Linked DNA regions of Anolis sagrei. The protein of the gene in region 1 purifies or fractionates together with the protein of each later gene. This does not show direct contact. Links are inferred from orthologs where the notes say so. Each region holds a gene or a part of one and is shown on either strand. Other genes may lie near its edges.

Region 1 (11,747 bases):
AGAGCAGTGGGTGCTGGGGCACTCCTCAGTATGTTATTGTGCTTGTAAGACTTCATATTCCAAGGATGTTTCAATGATAATGGATGGGAAGCATAATTTGACCATCCCCTTAAAGTACCTACAAGTAAAATTAATAATAACTTGCCCACCAACACTGAGCTTCTTAAAACCAGTTCTGGAGTCTCTAATGAGATCTGATGACTGCAGGCCAAGATGTCCTGAATTCAAAGGGTGTCCCAGTTTGGCTTTGGGCAAACTTCTCTAGCCCATCCATCTTTTGTCTGCAGTTTGGAGATAACGCCACCCTTCTGTTATGAATGAAGAAAGAGGACAGGCGCCAAGCTTGAAGAACCTATTTCGTCACGATGGCGGTACATAAGCCAATTTAGCTACTGCACCCTAAACTCTTGCACTAACATATGCACATAGCTATACATTCACATTTGAGTCACTGTTGCCCAACTTGAGTTTCTCCCTGTCCTTGAAGAACAGTACATGTGGACACCTGCCAATGCTGCTATTGATAGTTTATTTAATGCTTAGACCATAGGTCTTTCACATATAGGACATACAAATAAATACATAAAAGCCAGATTATAAAATACAATACAAAATATACCATTAAAATACTATATAAAGAATTAGAATCATTAATATGCTACATAAATCAATTGCGAGATGCACCCTTAAAATACTGCATAAAATTATGTATTGGCACAGTTGGTAATTTTTAGACAGCAATTTGCTTTCGGTCACCAGGGATCTATCCCAATAGATCCCTACCTACCTTCTAACGCACCATGTACATGGGTAGCACTATAGAAATAAATGACATAACTAATCACTATATTTTTAATGGAGAAGACTAAATCCAGGAGTTTTTCCATGCCTCACTCAACTACTGTACACTTGAACCAATGCATCTGCTCTTAGGACCAATGAAAATAAAGTTTTAGTTTTAGGTGCCCTGAGGAGGAAAGAAGGTGGAGCCAATAGGCAGAGGGTTGTGTATGTATTTCATAGAATCATAGAATCAAAGAGTTGGAAGAGACCTCATGGGCCATCCAGTCCAACCCCCTGCCAAGAAGCAGGAATATTGCATTCAAATCACCCCTGACAGATGGCCATCCAGCCTCTGTTTAAAAGCTTCCAAAGAAGGAGCCTCCACCACACTCCGGGGCAGAGAGTTCCACTGCTGAACGGTCAATTTACACTGTAGAATGAGGTTTGACACCACTTTCAACGCAGTGGCTCACCCTGCTCATCATAATAGGTAAGTAAGATTGCCTTCCAAGTGAAGGGTCTTTGCGGATGAGCACGTAGAAGACCATAGAGACCTATTCTGTATCCGCATGTTCTTTCGCAGTGGGGACATCAATTTCCAGATGTAAGGCTTGACATGCCTTCCTGTTGCATGTTTATCCCTTTTGCCATCCATTTGTGCCTTTTTGAATTCCACAGCATTGTTGCTCACAATTGACCTCCAGTTAGGATGCTTGAAGGCCATGGCTTCCAAGTTCTATGTGTCTATGCCACAGTTTTAAGCTTGACTTTAAGCCCATCTTTAAATCTGTTTTCTTGTCAAGCAACATACCATTTTAGTTCTTGGGTTGGGAGTATAGTAAGTGCTTTGGTAAATGGTGATCAGGCATTCGGACAAAGTAGACAGTTCAACAGAGTTGATGGCATAGGAGCATTGCTTCAGTGCTGGTGATCTTTGCTGCTTCTTCCAGACCACTGACATTTGTCTGCCTGTCTTCCCAAGAGATTTTGCAGGATTTTTCAGAGACAACACTGGTGGAATCATTCCAGAAGTTGAGTGCGACGTCTGTAGTAGACGGTCCATGTTTTGCAGGCGTATAGCAGGGTTGGGAGGACAATAGTTTTATAAACAAGCATCTTGGTCTCCTTACAAATGTCCCAATCCTCAAACACTGCTTCATTCAGAAAAATTCTGCACTCATACAGCTCAGGCAGTGTTATATTTCAGTGTCGATGCTGACTTTTGTGGAGAGGTGGCTGCCAAGGCAGCAGAAATGGTCAACATTTTCTAACATTACAACATTAAGCTGTATTTCCAGCTCTGCAGAGGGATTGGCTGGTGCCTGCTGCACGAGTATTTTGGTTTTCTCAATGTTCAGTGAGAGATCAAGCTGTTTGAATGCTTCTGCAAAGGTGTTTAGAATGGCTAGTATGTACAATCATAGAATAATAGAATTGGAAGAGACCACATGGGCTACAAAGCCCAACCCCCTGCTAAGAAGCAGGAAAATCATGTTCAAAGCATCCCTGACAATTGGCCATCCAACCTCTGCTTAAAAGCCTCCAAAGAAGGAGCCTCCACCACACTTCAGGGCAGAGAGTTCCAATGTTGAACAGCTCTTACGGTCTGGAAGTTCCTCCTAATGTTCAGGTGGAATATCCTTTCCTGTAATTTGAACCCATTGCTCCAAGTCCTAGTTTCCAGAGCAGCAGAAAACAACCCTGCTCTCTCTACCTTATGACACCCTTTCACATATTCATACATAGCTATCATGTCTCCTCCCAATCTTTTCTTTGGCAGGCTAAAAATACCCAGTTCTTGAAGACACTCATCATAGTGATTAACTGTCTCCAGACTCCAGGTGAGTACTAACCAAAGCAGAATAGAGAGGCACCATGACTTCCCACAATCTAGATACTATACTCTTTTTGATGCAGTCCAAAATCCCATTGGCTTTTTAAGCTGCTGCATCACACTGTAGGCTCATGTTCAACTTGTTGTCCACAAAGACTCCCAAGTTCTTTCCCACATGTACTGTTGTTGAGCCAGGCATCACACATCTTGTATCTTTGCATTTCATTTTTCTGCCTAAGTGTAGTATCTTACATTTTAGTCCTTGTTGAAATTCATTATTTTAGCTCTATAATTTGTTAAAGTGAGTATGATCTGGAGTATTAGCTCTTCCTCCTAATTCAGTGTCATCTGCAAACTTGATAAGCACATCTTCTAAACCTTCTACCAAATCATTACTAAAGATGTTGAACAGAACTGGGCCCAACACTGTGGCAATCCACTTGTCACTTCTTTCCAGGATGAAGAGGAAGCATTAGTGAGCACCCTTTGGGTTCGGTTGCTTAACTATAGAATCATAGAGTTGGAAGAGACCTCCTGGGCCATCCATTCCAACCCCCTGCCAAGAAGCAGGAATATTGCATTCAAAGCACCCCTGACAGATGGCCATCCAGCCTCTGTTTAAAAGCTTCCAAAGAAGGAGCCTCCACCACACTCCAGGGCTGAGAGTTCCACTGCTGAATGGCTCTCACAGTCAGGAAGTTCTTCCTAATGTTTAGATGGAATCTCCTTTCTTGTTTGAAGCCATTGTTCCGCGTCCTAGTCTCCAGAGAAGTAGAAAACAAGCTTGCTCCCTCCTCTCTGTGACTTCCTCTCACATATTTATACATGGCTATCATATCTTCTCTCAGCCTTCTCTTCTTCAGGCTAAATATGCCCAGCTCTTTAAGCCTCTCCTCATAGGGCTTGTTCTCCAGACCCTTGATCATTTGAGTCGCCCTCCTCTGGACACATTCCAGCTTGTCAATATCTCCCTTCAATTGTGGTGCCCAGAATTGGACACAATATTCCAGGTGTGGTCTAACCAAGGCAAAACAGAGGGGTAGCATTACTTCCCTGGATCTAGACACTATACTCCTATTGATGCAGGCCAAAATCCCATTGGCTTTTTTTGCTGCCACATGTCATTGTTGGCTCATGTTTAACTTGTTGTCCACAAGGACTCCAAGATCTTTTTCACATGTACTGCTCTCGAGCCAGGCATTGTCCCCCATTCTGTATCTTTGCATTTTGTTTTTTCTGCCTAAGTGGAGTAACCAATTATACCAAGTAAACCAATTATAAATCTATGTAGTAATAGTTTTGCCTAGCGCACATTTAACTAGTTTGCTTGCAAGAAGGTCATGGGGGGCTTTGTCAAAGGCCTTACTGAAATCAAGATATGCTATTGGAGCATCATCATTACATCGGTGCCCCTTCATTTGGTGCAATGCCTGGGATATGAACCCGGGCCTCCCACATGACAGGTGAGAATTCTACCACTGAACCACCAATTCCCTGCATCTACCAAGCCGGTAACTCTATTGAAAAAAGAGAGAATACATCTAATATATATCTCCATTGATTCTATAGCACTGAGCCATGACAGTTAAAGTGATGTCAAACTATTGATTTTACAGCACAGATGCATCCTTGGCTAACTCAAACAACCTATTCAATGCTAATCAAGGTGATCAATTGCAACATTCACACTTACCTCAGGCAGACAAGAGTTCTTTCTCCCACCTTGGATATTCCACAGATATATAAACCTCACTTGCCTAATTTCCAACAGACCTCACAACCTCTGAGGATGCCTGCCATAGATGTGGGCAAAACATCAGAAGAGAAGGATTCTGGAACATGATCATACAGCCTGGAAAACTCACAGCAACCCAGGGATAGAAATTAACTAATATTAGTATTAATAATGATGATCGCCTTGAGGCAAGTGGTGCCAAACCGTGTTAATGCCACAATGTGTAGATGCTGCACCCCTGGGCATGCTTTAGTAAGGTTCTCAATCTTTCTAATGCTGCAACCCCTTAATTCAGTGCCTCATATTGTGGTGACCCCCAACCTTAAAATTATTTTTGTTGCTACTTCATAATGGTAATTTTGTCACTGTTATGAATTGTAATGTAAATATCTGATATGCAGGATGTATTTTCATTCATTGGACCAAATTTGTCATAAATACCCAATATGTCTAAATTTGAATACTGGTGGGGTTGGGGGAGAATTGATTTTGTCATTTGGGAGTTGTAGTTGCTGGGATTTATAGTTCACCTACAATCAAAGAGCATTATGAATTCCATCTATGATGGAATTGGACCAAAATTGGCACACAGGACTCCCGTGACCAACAGAAAATACTGGAAGGGATTGGTGGGCATTGGCCTTGGGTTTTGGAGTTATAGTTCACCTACATCCAGAGAGCACTATGGAGTCAAACAATGAAGGCTCCGGACCAAACTTGGCATGGATACTCAGTATGCCCAAATGTGGACACTGGTGGAGTTTCGGGAAAATTGACCTTGACATTTGGGAGTTGTAGTTGCTAGGATTTATACTTCACCTACAATCAAAGAGCATTCTGAACTCCACCAATGAGGGAAATGAACCCTCAAATTGAACCAAACTTGGCACACAGGACTCCCATGATCAACAGAAAATACTGGAAGGGTTTGGTGGGCATTGGCCTTGGGTTTTGGAGTTGTAGTTCACCTACATCCAGAGATGTAGGATCTGGACCAAACAATGATGGATCCGGACCAAAATTGGCATGGATACTCAATATGCCCAAATATGGACACTGGTGGAGTTTGGGGGAAATAGACCTTGACATTTGGGAGTTGTAGTTGCTGGGATTTATAGTTTACCTACAATCATATAGCATTCTGAATTCCATCAATGATGGAATTGGGCCAAAATTGGCACACAGGACTCCCATGACCAACAGAAAATATTGGAAGGGTTTGGTGGGCATTGGCCTTGGGTTTCAGAGTTGTAGTTCACCTACATCCAGAGAGCACCGTGGACTCAAACAATGATGGATCTGGACCAAACTTGGCATGGTTACTCAATATGCCCAAATGTGGACACTGGTGCAGTTTGGGGGAAATAGACCTTGACATTTGGGAGTCGTAGTTGCTGGGATTTATAGTTCACCTACAATCAAAGAGTATTGTGAACCCAATCAATGATATAATTGGGCCAAACTTCCCACACAGAACCCCCATGACTAACAGTAAATACTGTGTAGGCCAGGGGTCCTCAAACTAAGGCCTTGGGGCCGGATACGGCCCTCCAAGGTCATTTACCCGGCCCTCGCTCAGGGTCAACTTAAGTCTGAAACGACTTGAAAGCACACAACAACAACAACCCTATCTCATCAGCCAAAAGCAGATTCACACTTCCTATTGAAATACGAATAAGTTTATATTTGTTAAAATTGTTCATTTTAATTATTGTATTGTTTTAAATTTTTTTTGCACTACAAATAAGAGATGTGCAGCGTGCATAGGAATTCATGTTTTTTTCAAATTATAATCCAGCCCTCCAACAGTTTGAGGGACTGTGACCTGGCCCTCTGTTTAAAAAGTTTGTGCAGGCTGTGGGTTTTTCAGGCTGTATGGCCATGTTCTCTAGAAGCATTCTCTCCTGACGTTTCGCCTGCATCTGTGGCAGGCATCCTCAGAGGTTGTGAGGTCTCACAACCTCTGTGGATGCTTGCCATAGATGCAGGCGAAACGTCAGGAGAGAATGCTTCTAGAGAACATGGCCATATAGCCCGAAAAAACCTATAACAACCCAGTTGTGAGGTCTGTTGGAAACGAGGAAAATGGGTAAATACTGATGGTCTTTGGCGACCCCTCTGACAGCCCCCTGCCGTAGGAGAAGGCATCCTGGCCCCCCACCCTCTGGGCAGAGAAACCCACAGCTCTTTCCCCTCCTCTTTTCTTTCTTTCTCCTCCTCCTCCTTTCCTCCTCTTCGACGCCCGCCCACAGCCTCCTCCTGGGCCCCTCTCTCGCTCTTTGGCGAGGCTGTTGCTATGGCGACGGTCACGTGACTGCGCCTCGGCGGGGAAGGAGGAGAGAAAGAGGAAGAAAGAGGAGGAGGAGGAAGGGGAACCGGCGGCGCTAAGACCCCGGGCGGCGCGAGGCTTCCTCGGGCGCGCCAAAGGCAGAAGCAGCAGCAGCGGCAGGAGGAGGAAGAAGCAAAGCAAGCAGCAGCCAGCAGCGCCTCCTCCTCCTCCTGCTCTCCCTTTGGCAACCTTCTCCTCCTCCGGCACGTCAGCTCTTCCTCAGCCTCGATGGATGGAGCCTCCCTGCCGCCCCCAGAGGTGCCGCTATGGTGGGTTTATCTCGGGATCGTGTCGCTTCAGAGGGGGAGGAAGCGGGGGAAGCAGGAGCCGGGGGAGGAGGGGAGAATCCATCGCGAAACAAGGCACCGCCGCCGTCTGGACCTCATCAAAAACGCCTCTGCATGTGGCGCATTGCAAACAGCTGCAGCATCAGCCCTTGCCTTGTTGAGTGTTTTTTGGGGCTGGGTCTCTGCCTTGTTGTATTATTTGGGGGAACTTGCAGGTGGGGGCCCCTACCTTTTTTTTAAAGGCCCCACAACCTTTTTAAAAATGCAGCATCTCCTTTATGCCCCCCTAAAAGCATTGAAGTGGGTGCCCCCCCCCCCCCCAAAAGAGATTGATACAGTTGTGTCAATCCTGGATGGAGCTCACCTAGTGCCCACCTTTGTGAGGTTGAAGCAGGGAGTATTTCCCTCATTGACAATCTCTTATTTTGGGGAGGGGAAGCGATATAGGGTCTTACCATAGGGGGTGTATTTGGATGATTATTTTTTTGTGCATCCATAGGGGTGTTTTTTTGTTTTGCCTCCAATCAGGGTGTCAAATGGTTAAGGAGAGCAGGTCCAAATTGATGCCTCCCCTGGCCTCATTTTCCAGGGAAAGTAGTCTGCAAAATAGAGGTGTATTAGGGATGGTTTTGTTTAGGAGGTGTAAAATAAATAAATATACTAATCTAGCTTCAATTACAATCAGGTCCAAAAGGGATCGGAGTCTGGATTATTTTCCCAGGTGGAAAAATAGGGATTTATTTATATTTTTGGGAGGTGGGGGTCTCATTTTCCAAGGGATGTGGTCTAAAAGATAGAGGTGTATATTAGGGATGGTTTTGTTTAGGAGGCATAAAATAAAGAAATACACTAATCTAGCACCAATTGGGAGCTGGTCCAAAGGTATTACTTTCCCAGGTGGAAAATGAGGATTTATTTATATTTTTGGGAGGTGGTGGTCTCATTTTCCAAGGGAAGTTGTCTAAAAGATAGAGGTGTATTATGGATGGTTTTGTTTTGGAGGTGTAAAATAAAGAAATATACTAATCTAGCTCCAATTAGGAGCAGGTCCAAAGGTGATCGGAATCTATATTATTTTCCCAGGTGGAAAAATAGGGATTTATTTATATTTTTGGGAGGTGGTGGCCTTATATTCCAAGGGATGTGGTCTAAAAAATAGAAGTGTATTATGGATGGTTTTGTTTTGGAGGGTAAAATAAAGAATTATAATAATCTAGCTCCAATTACGAGCAGGACCAAAAGGCTTACTTTCCCAGGTGGAAAAATAGGGATTTATTTATATTTTTGGGAGGTGGTGGCCTTATTTTCCAAAGGATGTGGTCTAAAAAATAGAAGTGTATTATGGATAGTTTTGTTTTGGAGGCGTAAAATAAAGAAATATACTAATCTAGCACCACTTGGGAGCTGGTCCAAAGGTATTATTTTCCCAGGTGGAAAAATGGGGATTTATTTATATATTTTGGGAGGTAGTAGCCTCATTTTCCAAGGGATGTGGTCTAAAAATAGAGGTGTATTATGGATGGTTTTGTTTTGGAAGCGTAAAATAAATAAATATATTAATCTAGCACCAATTTGGAACTGGTCCAAAGGGATAGAAGTCTGGATTGTTTTCCCAGGTTGAAAAATAGAGGTCTATGTATAATTTTGGGAGGTGCTCGCCTCATTCTCTAAGGGAAGTGGTCTGAAAAATAGAGGTGTATGGATGTTGTTGTTTTTTTGTTTTGGAGGTGTAACATAAATAAATATGTCCAAAAGGATAGACCTCTGGAATGTTTGCCAAGGTGGGAAAATAGAGGTCTATGTATATATATATATATACACACACACACACACATACACACACACATATATATGGGGGGGGGGGGGAATATGGGGACAGAAGTGGCTCCAATTGGGATCAGATCCAAAAGGATGGGGCGCCGAGGCTTATTTTCCGAGCCATTGTCTTCCACCCCATTGGTGGTCCGCTTCTCTATTGTTCCCTATTTATCCTTTATTCCTTCCAAAGAAAGATGGGACTCTCTCTTGTCTTTGATAAACAAGATCTCATGCGTGGATCCGCTAGTCGTCGGAAGAGGTTACTAATAATAAAGCCTCTCCCCACCACCACCCTGAACTGGATCTCAAGGAGGGAAAGGCGTTCTTTCCTCTGCCCACTAAAATATTTTTATGTCTTTCCTTCTTCCTTTTTCCCTTCCTTTTCCCCTCCTTTTGCCATGTTTGTTTTCCTTTTTTCACCCCCTCTCCCTGACTGACAATAGACCAGGCCTGTGATCTTTTATCAGCCAGGTGAGACCCACAGAAAGGTACAGTCTCGGCCTTGCCCAAGGTCACCTGGATCAAAGGCTGTCCAGATAAAGGCAAGGCTCCTGTATCCATGCATCGCGGTTATGTGTCTACAAAGGCAAAGTAGCTTTCAGCCTGGCGCAGCTAGTCATCATTGGGGGGAGCGGGTGTTGTTTGGGAAAAACAGCATCAGAAGACATTCCCCATTCACAACTCTCACGAGTATGAATTGCATCCCCGAGATCAAATATATGGACCACCTCTGCTGGCTGGACTGCCTTGTTTGGTGTAATTCTTCTTGCAGGCTGCCATTGAGAGAGAAAAATATAAATCCATTTTTGAAGGGTTGCTCAATTCTGTAGGGTAAGTCCCTTAGCCTCCATCTTGAGAGAAAAGGCAGGAAATAAAAAGCAACCCTTTCTGATCCTTGGGTAGGGGTGCATTTTTTTCCTACATGGCAAGGCTGTGTGTTTTTCTCCTCCTACTCAAGGTCCAACAGGTCATGAAAGCTGGAGACATTGGGACTGTGTTGTTAGTTTTTGCTGCATCTTCTTTGCACGGTCGGTTGGTTGTTGTAGAGTTCTTTTTTGATGATTTCTTGTAGAGTTGGATGAAGTTTATGTGCTGAGTTCTTTGACAATGTACGTCAGGCTCACTATCAAATATAAATAACTATTTAAGCTGACTGGCTGCTTCCTCTTCTTCCTTTTCTTCTTCCACCACCTCTTTTGTAAAGTCTTCCACTCGGTGTGCATCCACACTGTAAAATGAATGCAGTTTGACACCACTTTAACTGCCATGGTTCAGTGCTGTGGAATCATTTGGTGAGGTGCCAGCACTCTTTAGCAGAGAAGACTAAGGCCCCTTCCACACCACTGAATAAAATCCCACATTTTCTGCTTTGAACTGGAATATATGGCAGTGTGGACTCAGATAACCCAGTTCAAAGCAGATATTCTGGGTTATATGGCTGTGTGGAAGGACCCCTAGAGACGTGTATCTAAAACTCCCATGATTCCATGCCATTGAGCCATGGCAATTAGGTTAACATAGCATAGAAACTGTTATAAATTCTGTAGAGTAAGATGCACTCTGACATAAGAATCGCTGTTTAGTTGGCATGTTTAATTCCCGAAGACTTAGATTAGTCTCCTCTGTAGAAATCTTGCACGATAATCTCCATAACCCAGTCCCAGGGCCCTTCCACGCAGCCCTATATCCCAGAATATCAAGGCAGAAAATCCCACCATATCAGCTTTGGGTTATCTGAAGCCACACTCAGATAATGTAGGATTTTTTACCTTGATATTCTGGGATATAGGGCCATGTGGAAGGGTCTCCAGTGGGTGTAGTGCAGCGTTTCTCAACCTGGGGGTTTGGACCCCTGGGGGGGAGGGTCATGAGAAGATGTCAGAGGGGTCACCAAAGATCATCAGAAGACACAGTATTTTCTGTTGGTCATGAGGGTTCTATGTGGGAAGTTTGGCTCAATTCTATTATTGGTGGGGTCCAGAATGCTCTTTGATTGTAGGTGAACTATAAATCCCACAACTACAACTGCCAAATGTCAAGGTCTATTTACCCCCAAACTCTACCAATGTTCACATTTCGGCACATTGAGTATCTGTGCCAAGTTTGATCCAGATCCATCATTGTTTGAGTCCACAGTGCTCTCTGGATGAAGGTGAACTACAACTCTCAAACTCAAGATCAATGCCCACCAAACCCTTCTAGTATTTTCTCTTGGTCATGGGAGTTCTGTGTGCCAAGTTTGGTTCAATTCCCTCATTTGTGGAGTTCGGAATGCTCTTTGATTGTAGGTTAACTATAAATCCCAGCAACTACAACTCCCAAATGACAAAATCAATTATCCCTTCCCCCCAACCCCACCAGTATTCAAAATTGAGCATATTGCATATTTGTATCAAATACATGCTACATATCAGATATATATGATGATTCATAACAGTAGCAAAATTACAGTTGTGAAGTAGCAACAAAAATAATTTTATGGTTGGGGGTCACCACAACATGAAATGTATTAAGGGGTTGCAGCATTAGGAAGGTTGAGAAACACTGGTCTAATGGTTGAGGTTGGTGAATGTCGTTGTTTGACACATTAAGAGGTCATCCCTTTGGGGAAGGTGGCTCTAGTATATTCCCAAAGGGTAGTATGATGTTCGTTTTGGGGTACAGCTGCAGGACATCCCTGCCGATTTTCCCCCAACACGCCGAACCAGCCAGCAGCATCAGGACCAAAGAGGCTTTCAGGACAGAGAAACTGTATCCCGGTGTTTAGAGAATGGACTTCATACAACAAAGAAAAATGATATGTTGCTTAATTTTCATTCTAGGCAGATTTTTACTGAATTATAAAAGTAGAAAAGAGAGAATGGACTTCACACATCAAAATGCCCCCCCCCCCCATTTTTTAGGGAGGGATCAAGGTGATGTGAGTCATAGGGCCCTTCCACAAGCCATACAATCCAGAAT
Region 2 (11,758 bases), on another chromosome or scaffold:
AGGCCTCAGTGTCTCTGCCTACCATTATTGCTAGACACTCAAGTCTCAATTCATCTGGCTGCCATTGTGACCTTTCCCTCCAGAGCAGGCATGGGCAAACCTCAGTCCTCCAGGTGTTTTGAACTTCGGGCCCTTCTACACAGCTATATAACCCAGAATATCAGGGCAGGAAATCCCACAATATCTGCTTTGAACTGGGATATATGGTAGTGTGGACTCAGATAACCCAAATCAAAGCAGATACTATGGGATTTCCTGCCTTGATATTCTGGATTAGATAGCTGTGTGGAAGGGCCCTTTAACTCACACAATTTGGCTGCTGGCTGTAAGGAATTGTGGGAGCTGAATTCCAAAACACCTGGAGGGCGGGGATTGCTCATGTCTGCTCCAGAGACCCAGGGCCCTTCCACACAGTCCTATATCCCAGGATACCAAGGCAGAAAATCCCACAATATCTGTTTTGAGGTGGATTATCTGAGTCCTCACTCAGATAATGTGGGATTTTCTGCCTTGATATTCTGGGGTATAGGGCTGTGTGGAAGGTCCCTGAGAATGAGTTTGCAGGTGTGGAAGAGAGGACAATAATGGCAACCGAAAGTATTCAGGGCCTTCAATCTATCCTTGGTGCCTCAGGGCCCTTCCACACAGCCCTATATCCCAGAATATCAAGACCGAAAATACCACAATATCTGCTTTGAGCTGGGTTATCTGAGTCCACACTCAGATAATGTGAGATTTTTTGGGTTGTTGTAGATTTTTTGGGGCTATGTGGCCATGTTCTAGAGGCATTCTCTCCTGACGTTTCACCTGCATCTATGGCAAGCATCCTCAGAGGTAGTAAGGTCTGTTGAAATTAGGAAAAAAGGTTTATATATCTGTGGAATGACCAGGGTGGGACAAAGAACTCTTGTCTGCTGGAGCTAGGTGTGAATGTTTCAACTGACCACCTTGATTAGCATTTGATGGCCTGGAAGTTTTTTTAGTGTGGCTTGTTAGGGCCTGGGGGAATCTTTTGTTGAGAGGTGATTAGCTGTCCCTGATAGTTTCCTCTCTGTTGTTTTGCTATTGTAATTTTAGAGTTTTTAATACTGGTAGCCAGATTTTGTTCATTTTCATGAAAACAATTTTTTTGCCTTGATATTCTGGGATTTAGGGCAGAATGGAAGGGCCCTATGACTCTTATCTTCCACAGATATAACTCGCCCTTATATCCTTTCCCTCCACAGAAACCCCAACCCGCTCTCAGCACCTATAGCTCTCGTTGTTACCTTGCCCCCCCCCCCTCCACACAGCCTTACATCACACAAAATCAAGGCAGAAATCCCACAATATCTGCTTTGAGCTGGGTTATGTGAGTTCACACTCAGATAATGAGATTTTTTGCCTTGATATTCTGGGATTTAGGGCAGTATGGAAGGTTCCTATGACTCTATCTTTCACAGATATTATTATTATTATTAAACTTTATTTGTACCCCGCTAGCATCTCCCAAAGGACTCGATGCGGCTTGCAAAGGCCAAGGCCTCAACACAACAACAGCAAACAATAACAATACGATGCAAAGCAAATTAAAAACATAAGCAATAACAAAACATTACACTATTATGCAATAAAAACCAGGGCCGGGCCAGTGATGGGCACAGGTTAAAAAGTGCTGGGTGTGAAAGGTAGTATGTTGGGATTCTGGGCAAGTGCAATGAGAGTCTTAAACTGTAATAAACTGCTTCTGGGACATAGTGCTGGGGGTTATCCTATTCCGGAAAGGCACATCGGAATAGCCAGGTCTTCAAGTTCTTCCTAAAGACTGCCAACGTGGGTGCTAGTCTAATGTCTTTGGGGAGGGTGTTCCAGAGTCAGGGGCAACCACAGAGAAGGCCCTGTCCCTTGTCCCTTGTCCCCACCAAATGCGCCTGTGACGCAGGTGGGATCGCGAGCAGGGCCTCTCTGGATGAACGATACAACAATATACCAATACATCAATATAACAAATCCATCAGATCTCATCACTAGAATCAGAATCCAGTCTCGTTATCCATTATTCCATGTTCAATCAATTGCACTGCTTAGTCAAATGCCTGTTCAAATAGCCAAGTCTTCACTTTTCTCTGGAATGTCAGTAAGGAGGGGGCCGATCTGATGTCTGCAGGAAGGGCGTTCCACAGCCAAGGGGCCACCACTGAGAAGGCCCTGTCTCTCGTCCCTGCCAAGCGTGCTTGTGAAGCTGGCGGGACCGAGAGCAGGGCCTCCCCAGACGATCTTAATGTCCTAACTGGTTCATAGGAGGAGATGCGTTCGGACAGGTAGATCGGACCAGAACAGTTTAGGGCTTTAAAGGCTAAAGCCAGTACTTTGAATTGTGCCCGGTAGCAAATTGGCAGCCACCTTGAATTGGGTTCGGTAGGTAAAGGGCAGCCAATGGAGCTCCTTAAACAGGAGGGTTGACCTCTCTCTGTAAGGAGCGCCAGTTAACATCCTGGCCGCCGCCCGTTGGACCAGTTGGAATTTCCGAGCCGTTTTCAAGGGTAGCCCCACATAGAGCGCATTACAGTAATCCAACCTAGAGGTGACTAAGGCATGGACCACCCCGGCCAAATACAACTCGTCCTTTACACTTGATCTTAGCCAAAAGGCCGAGAAGCGATGTCCAGAAGTCATCGTGGATGGCGGCTCTGAATAATGAGCTGGCTGGATTCGGTCTGCCTTTGCAATTTCTGGGTGTTCTGGGTCTGGGGGCAGGGCAAGTGCTCAAGCGGCGCATTAGGGATGTCTATGCACAGCTGGACCTAGAGAGCATAGGTAGGTCTTCAGCCACAAGGTTTTTAGCTTCCCACAAAAAGGAATATTCATTTAGAGCACTACCTAACTATTCCACTTCCTCTACCCTTAGACCCATCGCAAACTCTGTTCCTGCGGGAGAAAACCTTGCTAGCAAGTCCCTGACGTCACGAGACTCCGCCTCTCGCCCCGCCCCTTTCTCCACCCCTTTCTCCGTGCGAGAGTGGTTTTTCCTTTGCTAGGGCAGCATTGCCAGCATACTCTCTCAGTTGGCAGAATTCAACTGAGAGAAAATGCGGGCAATGCTGCCCTAGCAAAGGAAAAACCACGCTGGCAAAGAGAAAGGGGCGGAGAAAGGGGCGGGGAGAGAGACGCAGGCTCATGACGTCAGGGACTTGCTAGCAAGGTTTTCTCCCGCAGGAACCTAGTTTGCGACGGCTCTTAAGAAGAATATATACTAGGGCTAGGTTTGAACAACTCGGTACGATGGTGCAAACCGGGTGTTACTGTAACATCCCAAGAAGTGAGAGATTCTGCGTCTGGGGAGAACAAACAGTGGAAGACATTGGACATTTCTTAATTGACTGTCCAGCATATACTGAACTGCGAGACACATATTTACATCTAATATTATCCAACTGCAGGTTCCCCAACAGAAATGATATTCTGAGATCCCTCTTGCAAGGGCAGGAAAGATCCAGCATCATCAGAGTAAGCCTTTTTATTCTGAAAGCTATTAAGAAAAAAACAGATTTCCTGAAAGAAGAACCAGGAAAATAAGATTCTGACTTATCACCTTGCTTGTTTTTTACTCGTGTTCTATTTTGAAATGGTCATATGACTGATCAAATAAATTATTATTATTATTATTATTAACTCGTCCTTTTATCCTTTCCCTTCACAGAAACCCCAACGTTGTGACCTAGCCCCCCCCCCCCTTCCCAGGGCCCTTCCACACAGCCCTGTTGTTGTTGTTCATTCATTCAGTCGTCTCCGACTCTTCGTGACCTCATGGACCAGCCCACGCCAGAGCTCCCTGTCAGCCGTCACCACCCCCAGCTCCTTCAAGGTCAGTCCAGTCACTTCAAGGATGCCATCCATCCATCTTGCCCTTGGTCGGCCCCTCTTCCTTTTGCCTTCCTCTTTCCCCAGCATAATTGTCTTCTCTAGGCTTTGCTGTCTCCTCATGATGTGGCCAAAGTACTTCAACTTTGTCTCTAGTATCCTTCCCTCCAGTGAGCAGTCGGGCTCTATTTCCTGGAGGATGGACTGGTTGGATCTTCTCGCAGTCCAAGGCACTCTCAGAACTTTCCTCCATCACCACAGTTAAAAAGCATCAATCTTCCTTCGCTCAGCCTTCCCTAAGGTCCAGCTCTCACATCCGTAGGTTACTACAGGGAATACCATGGCTTTGACTAGGCGGATCTTTGTTGCCAGTCTGATGTCTCTACTCTTTACTATTTTATCGAGATTGGACATTGCTCTCCTCCCAAGAAGTAAGCGTCTTCTGATTTCCTGGCCACAGTCTGCATCTGCAGTAATCTTTGCACCTAGAAATACAAAGTCTGTCACGGCCTCCACATTTTCTCCCTCTATTTTCCAGTTGTCAATCATTCTTGTTGCCATAATCTTGGTTTTTTTGATGTTTAGCTGCAACCCGGCTTTTGCGCTTTCTTCTTTCACCTTGATTAGAAGACTCCTCAGCTCCTCCTCGCTTTCGGCCATCAGAGTGGTGTCATCTGCATATCTGAGGTTGTTAATGTTTCTTCCAGCAATTTTCACCCCAGCTTTGCATTCATCAAGCCCCGCACAACGCATGATGTGTTCTGCATACAAGTTAAAAAGGTTGGGTGAGAGTATGCAGCCTTGCCGTACGCCTTTCCCAATCTTGAACCAGTCTGTTGTTCCGTGGTCAATTCTGACTGTTGCTACTTGGTCCTTGTACAGATTTCTCAGGAGAGAGACAAGGTGGCTTGGTATGCCCATCCCACCAAGAACTTGCCACAGTTTATTATGATCCACACAGTCAAAGGCTTTAGAGTAGTCAATGAAGCAGAAATAGATGTTTTTCTGAAACTCCCTGCCTTTCTCCATTATCCAGCATCCGGATATTGGCAATCTGGTCTCTGGTTCCTCTGCCTTTTCTAAACCCAGCTTGAACATCTGGCAACTCTCGCTCCATGTATTGCTGGAGTCTTCCTTGCAAGATTTTGAGCATTACCTTACTGGCATGAGAAATCAGGGCCACTGTACGGAGGTTGGAGCAGTCTTTCGCATTTCCCAGCCCTACATCCCACAAAATCAAGGCAAATCCCACAATATCTGCTTTGAACTGTGTCCACACTGCCATATATTCCAGTTCAAAGCAGAAAATGTGGGGTTTCATTCAGCTGTGTGGAAGGGGCCCCAAACAAGGCTGAGGCTGCCCTTCCTTGCCCTCCCCTCCCACCCTTTCCCTCAATATCCCTGGTTGCCATTACATCCCCGAGGCCTGCTGTTGGTCTTCCTCAGGGCCTCCTCTCCTCTCCTCGCCCTCCCCTTCCCCTTCCCCTGAGTTCTCACACATGGCCGCAGGGGGCTCGCACGGGGCCCTCGAACACCTCCAGGCACACCGGGCAGGTGAAGCGGGACAGCGGGTCCAGCGAGTTCGCAGCGACGGCGGAGGCAGCAGCAGCCCCCTCTGGGTACCGAGAGCTCGCCTCAGCCAACGCCATCTTCGTGAGAGACAGACCTCGACAGTTATCCCAACGGTAGCACAACAATTCTACCAAACGCGAAAGAGGAACGAACGACGGCGGCCTAAAAGGGACAACACGGCCCAGGCCCCGCCCAGCGAGCCTAAGCCACGCCCACCGAGCCCAACTGCACAGGCGCGGCAGGAATAGCGTTCCTAATGGCTGGGAGTTTGTGTGGGAGGGGACTCTTGTGTACTTTGCCCATCGGCTTCCAACTGGGTGGCACCCCACGATGCAGGCGAAACGTCAGGAGAGAATCATAGAATTGGAAGAGACCTCATGGGCCATCCAGTCCAACCCCATTCTGCCAAGAAGCAGGAATATTGCATTCAAATCACCCCTGACAGATGGCCATCCAGCCTCTGTTTAAAAGCTTCCAAAGAAGGAGCCTCCACCACACTCCAGGGCAGAGAGTTCCACTGCTGAACGGCTCTCACAGTCAGGAAGTTCTTCCTCATGTTCAGATGGAATCTCCTCTCTTGTACGTTGAAGCCATTGTTCTGTGTCCTAGTCTCCAGGGAAGCAGTAAACAAGCTTGCTCCCTCCTACCTGTGGCTTCCTCTCACATATTTATACATGGCTATCATATGTCCTCTCAGCCTTCTCTTCTTCAGGCTAAACATGCCCAGCTCCTTAAGCCGCTCCTCGTAGGGCTTTTTCTCCAGACCCTTGATCATTTTAGTCGCCCTCCTCTGGACACATTCCAACTTGTCAATATCTGCGTTTAATTGTGTGGGATGGGACTCTTGGAACATCCCGGTTGTGTACTTTGCCCATCGGCTTCCAACTGGATGGCACTCCACGATGCAGGCGAAACGTCAGGAGAGAATCATAGAATCAAAGAGTTGGAAGAGACATCATGGGCCATCCAGTCCAACCCTCTGCCAAGAAGCAGGAATATTGCATTCAAATCACCCCTGACAGATGGCCATCCAGCCTCTGTTTAAAAGCTTCCAAAGAAGGAGCCTCCACCACACCCTGGGGCAGAGAGTTCCACTGCTGAACGGCTCTCACAGTCAGGAAGTTCTTCCTCGTGTTCAGATGGAATCTCCTCTCTTGTAGAACATGGCCATATAGCCCAAAAAACCTAGAACAACCCAACTTATTATTTATTCATATCAGGAGCGAACCAACAGTTGTATTTTCTTTAAAAGAGGGGGGGAAACCCACAAAGTTTGCAAATTTGGCATTCTATGAAATGTTCTTTGACCTGTAGCTGGCCACTTAGAGTGCCTCTGGTGTTGCTACAAGAAGGTCCTCCACTGAGCATGTAGCAGGGCTCAGACTGTAGCAACACCAGAGGCACTCTAAGTGGCCAGCTACGGGTCAAAGAACATTTCATAGAATGCCAAGTTTGCGAGGTTTGTGGGTTTTCCCCCCTCTTTTAAAGACAATACAACTGACTCACCCTGGTCATTCCACAGATAGATAAACCCTTTTTCCTAGTTCCAAGAGACCTCACTACCTCTGAGGATGCTTGCCATAGATGCAGGCGAAACATCAGGAGAGAATGCCTCTAGACCATGGCGATATAGCCTGAAAAAACCTACAAGAACCTAAATAAATGTATGCTGAAACTTTCGACGCAATAATTAAAGGTGCAAGAACCCTTCTAATTTTAAATCTAGCAAGTCTAATTTCTTTGTTCCTGGAAACTATGTGGATTGACAGCTGATAGCTTGCACAGTGACACAAGTCTAGGAACCACCACTTCCAATGGTTCGAAATAGGAGTTCAAAACAAGGACTGTCCTGTAACAGTATTTCAAAAAGAAGATTGTTATCCATTAAAGGGACAGGTGACCACTTATCCTCCTATTATACCATCACCATCTGGATTAAACGATCAGGTCTAAAGCAATTTGGGAAAAAAACATGATCCCCACAATAGCCATGATAAAAGGTGAATACTGGATTTGATAAACCCCTTTGCCCAAATACTGTCCTTTAGGATGATGAACTGAGATCTACCACAAATAACATTGTCTTGACTCTGTTTAGGTTTGTTGTTTGCACACCAGGGATATCCTGAACAGGATTGTTCTCAAAGCAAGTTGTGTACTGTCTGCTTTAAGATCAAAGTGCAAAAGTATTCAGCAGAGATCTGCTTAAAAAAACGGAGAAGCAATAAGTCACACATGCTTTCTTTTTCATTCCAGATTTTCTCACACATTATGAAAACTAGGTGTGGAAAAAGATGTTACATAACAATTTATGAGGCATCGAATGCACTGAAATTCTAAATCCTGGATCATTAGTGAGCAGGCAATTCTGGCAAGTGTCCTACAACTCTAAAATAAAGGTGATCCCAAGGAGCTAAACTTGAGTGCAGCGTTTTCCATTAAAATGAATAGACGTAATGCCTATAGCATGATTTTCCATTTTAAGATTGGCCTTTTCACTGGCCAGAAAAAATGTCATTCAAATACATAGAAATCTAAAGAGATGTGGCAAGACTCTGATCTAATTTCTATATGAATTAATTTACAGCATCAGTAGTTTCCATATGAATTAATTTGTAGCTTTGGTAGTTTCCATATTAATTAATTAGGAGCCCTCGGTGATGCAGTGGGTTAAACTCTTGTGCTGGCAGGACTGAAGACCAGCAGGTCAAAGGTTCAAATCCAGGGAGAGTGCAGATGAACTCCCTCTGTCAGCTCCAGCTTCTTATGCAGGGACATGAGAGAAACCTCCTACAATGTTGATAAAACATCAAAACATCTGGGTGTCCCCTGGGTGACGTCCTTGCAGACAGCCAATTCTCTCACACCAGAAGCCACTTGCAGTTCCTCAAGTCGCTCCTGACACGAAAAAATAATAATTCACCCACTATGAGGCATGCTGACACTATCAGGTTCCCACCTTTCTCCAGGTATAGCTGCTAAGTGTCCTTTATATGTTTTCAGAACAAACAAGCAATGTACATGAAGCATCAGTATTGTGTATATGTGCCTTCAGGTCACCTATAAACATACAACGATACCACAAATTTAACAAGGTTTTCTTAGGCAAGGAATCCTCAGAAGTGGTTTTGCCAATTTCTTCTTCTGAAATATCGCCTCTAGCACCTGTGATTTCCTGGCGGACTCCAAGCCAAGTACCAACCAGGGCTGTTCCTGTTTAGCTTCCAAAATCAGACAAGATCTGGTGCCTTTAGGCTATTTAAGCTAAACTGACTAGTTATTCTTCACTTTGGAGGTGCCAGAACTGAGAATGCTTCACCTGCTAATTTCTGGGGTGTGTGTGCCTCCATTTATTCCCATCACATCAATTAGGTTATGACACTGTTATAACCTAATTGATGTCAGACCAGAGCCTGGAAATGTTACATATCTGATAATGTCAGACCAGAGCCTGGAAATGTTACACGTTTGGATTACAACTTTTTGAGAAAAGTAACAGTCTCTATTCTTTCTTAGATGTGGCCAATTATGTTTTGACTAGTCAGTTTCAAAGTTGAAGTACTTTGGCCACATCATGAGGAGACAGCAAAGCCTAGAGAAAACAATTATGCTGGGGAAAGTGGAAGGCAAAAGGAAGAGGGGCCGACCTAGGGCAAGATGGATGGATGGCATCCTTGAAGTGACTGGACTGACCTTGAAGGAGCTGGGGGTGGTGACGGCCGACAGGGAGCTCTGGCGTGGGCTGGTCCATGAGGTCACGAAGAGTCGGAGACGACTGAACGAATGAACAACAACAACAAGTCAGTTTAGCTGATTTTTTAACTTTGACCCAAATAAGTGCATAATCTCTGCTATTCTAGTTGTATTATGGATGAACAACAACACTATTTTATTTGGTAGGAGACAAATAAGTCACCTATATAGCTCCCAGATATAATTAATTGGGGCTTTCCATTTAATTGAAACACATTTCATTAGTGACCCCACCATAAAGGTCAATTTCCAACTGCTTTGGTTGGAGTGTGAAGGGATGGGTGTGTTGTTTTTGTGATGTGTGCTGGGGAAAGCATTTAATTTCGTTGTACAATGACAATGAAGTTATTGTTCTTTGGTCAACTTGTTAGGCTTTGTTCATCTTCATGGGTCCTTGTCAGCCACAAGAACTCCAATCTGAACAATAATATTTTTTTTTACTTGGCACATATTTTTCTTTGGACCAGATTTTTTCTTGTATAGGTGACATATAGGAGTTTCATGCCGAAGACAAAAGCTAAGAGTTACGAGTGGGAGGGGAGAAGTATGAATCATCATGCAATATGGAGAAATTCTCATCACTAACTGCAGTTATTTGTCACTGCTGGCATCAGGTCACCATCTGATGATTTATGTTTTGAATCCATACGTTGTTGCATGCAGTGTGTGACAGGGAACAGAAGACGATTGCACAGAACAGAACAGAAGCTGTGTGTGGGCACTATGTTGTAGCTGTGACAAGAGGGAAAAATCCATAGTGGAAGGCTGCAGACAAAAGGATTAGACTGTTGGTGGTGGCTTTTGCACATAATATGTGCAGAAATTAATACTCACTCCTCCCTCCCCCCATGAAAGAAGATATGGTAAATGTGGGAGAAATGAAGAGAGAAGTGTCATTCCATCATCACTGTTACCAAGTACCGAAATGCTTATTATCATGGCAAGAAGTAGGATAAGAAAAGAGGGTGTGTGTGTGTACTGCAGAGTGAGATGTACTTAATTTATGTGCACCACACATTTGACGTGCCACATCTACAAAGAACTAGATGTACCCTCCTAGGAGATTCCTCAGGGAGCCAGCATGGCAAAGTGACTTCAGCATGGGATGATGACTGGAAATCAGGGCTTGAATCCCTGCTCTGCTATAGAAACAGCTCTGGTGACCTAAGGTGAGTTACACTCTCTCAGCCTCAGAGGGGCAAGGGCCCCCTCTGAACAAGTTTTGTCAAGAAAACTGCATATAGGTTTGTCACCATAACTCAGGAATAACTTGAAGGTGCCACAACAAAGGGTATTCCCTCAATCAATATTCATGCTTTGCCCTCATCACTACAATATTTTTTTTTCATAGGAATGACTGCCAAAAAGGCAAAGACATCTTAGATCCCAATCTGGGAGAAAGGCAGGATGTAAATCTAATACAGACATATATACATACCTAAAAGAAGGCACTTATGAGAAAAGTTAATCCTCTGGTCAGAGAGAGACTTAATATCAGGTATCTCAAGCCCTACCTACACTGATAGTTTGATGAAGTTTCAACTGTAGCAACTAGACAACGAAATGCACAAAAGAGAGTCCTGAGTAAGCATCAGTGCTCTGTAGTTTGTGTAATCATCCACACAGCAAAACCACTTTCTTCAACAGCAGTTTGAAACTGCATTAAATAGTCAGTATATATGGGGCCTTAGATAGCATTTGCTGGGGAGTGGCTACAATGTGTTGGAGGAAAAAGCTGCAACCTGCACACCAAAGCTATTCTGAGTTCCTGTCTCAGGAGAATGACAGGATAAAAATAAATTAAACAAACTTGCTCATGCACTTTGCCTTATACCTCTAAAATGAAAATGGAGGACACTGATCCACTACCAGTGTTGAGAAATTCAGCTATCGGTTTTGTTAGTTTTTATATAGGGAACAAGAAGAGGAAGCCTCTTGCCCTTTGTTTCAGGATATTTCTGATACATTTGTTACACTTACATCCTAACTTTCCTTTAACAAGCTCAAAACAGCTCTTCTGTAACTCAGTTCAATAAAGTTGAACACATATATCCTCCAAGTCAAGTCTCTGGTTTTTCATGACTGTGTTTGGACTTTTGTTTTTGTACTAGCAACTTAATACAACTATAAGACAAATGCTTTTCTCTACCAAAGGTCTTTACCTGCTTATCTGTGGATGTGTAACTGACCACCAGAAGGGGATTCTTGTCACTCCATCTGCAAGCTGGCATGCTTTGCATTTCAGCTGAATTACTTACACACACACACAACACCCACGTATGTTGTTATAAATGTCTCTCCGCTGAAGCTATAACCCATGCATTTAAGGAAGCACTCCTAGTCGATGAAAGCTTATGCTACATAAATAGGCGTTTAAGATACCACAAGGTATATATATATATCTACATTGAAATAGGATAATACAGGTCTTGCCTATATTGACTGAAATTCCGACACACCTTGTTCTGAATTTAACATGCACAATGCATTTTTATGGACATTACTCCATTTTTAATACTTGCTTTTTACCCTGAGGTTTTACAGAAATCTGGATTTTTAGGCATGTAGCTGTCCCTCCAAGTGAGCGGAATTG

Evidence for each region.
Region 2: the proteins of DTX3 (region 1) and RNF114 purify together in Homo sapiens (affinity purification with mass spectrometry; 3 studies listed by BioGRID and IntAct, counting the BioPlex papers as one, with this or other methods). This does not show direct contact. The link is inferred for Anolis sagrei from reciprocal best matches to the Homo sapiens genes DTX3 and RNF114.

What each region holds. Positions count from the first base shown.
Region 1 is NC_090022.1:186,265,005-186,276,751, forward strand, and holds the start of DTX3 (probable E3 ubiquitin-protein ligase DTX3), read left to right. Parts: upstream 1-6,684; 5' UTR 6,685-6,950; intron 6,951-11,747. UniProt on the Homo sapiens protein: Regulator of Notch signaling, a signaling pathway involved in cell-cell communications that regulates a broad spectrum of cell-fate determinations.
Region 2 is NC_090024.1:221,682,354-221,694,111, reverse strand, and holds the start of RNF114 (E3 ubiquitin-protein ligase RNF114), read right to left. Parts: upstream 5,626-11,758; 5' UTR 5,490-5,625; coding exon 5,338-5,489; intron 1-5,337. UniProt on the Homo sapiens protein: E3 ubiquitin-protein ligase that promotes the ubiquitination of various substrates. In turn, participates in the regulation of many biological processes including cell cycle, apoptosis, osteoclastogenesis as well as innate or adaptive immunity.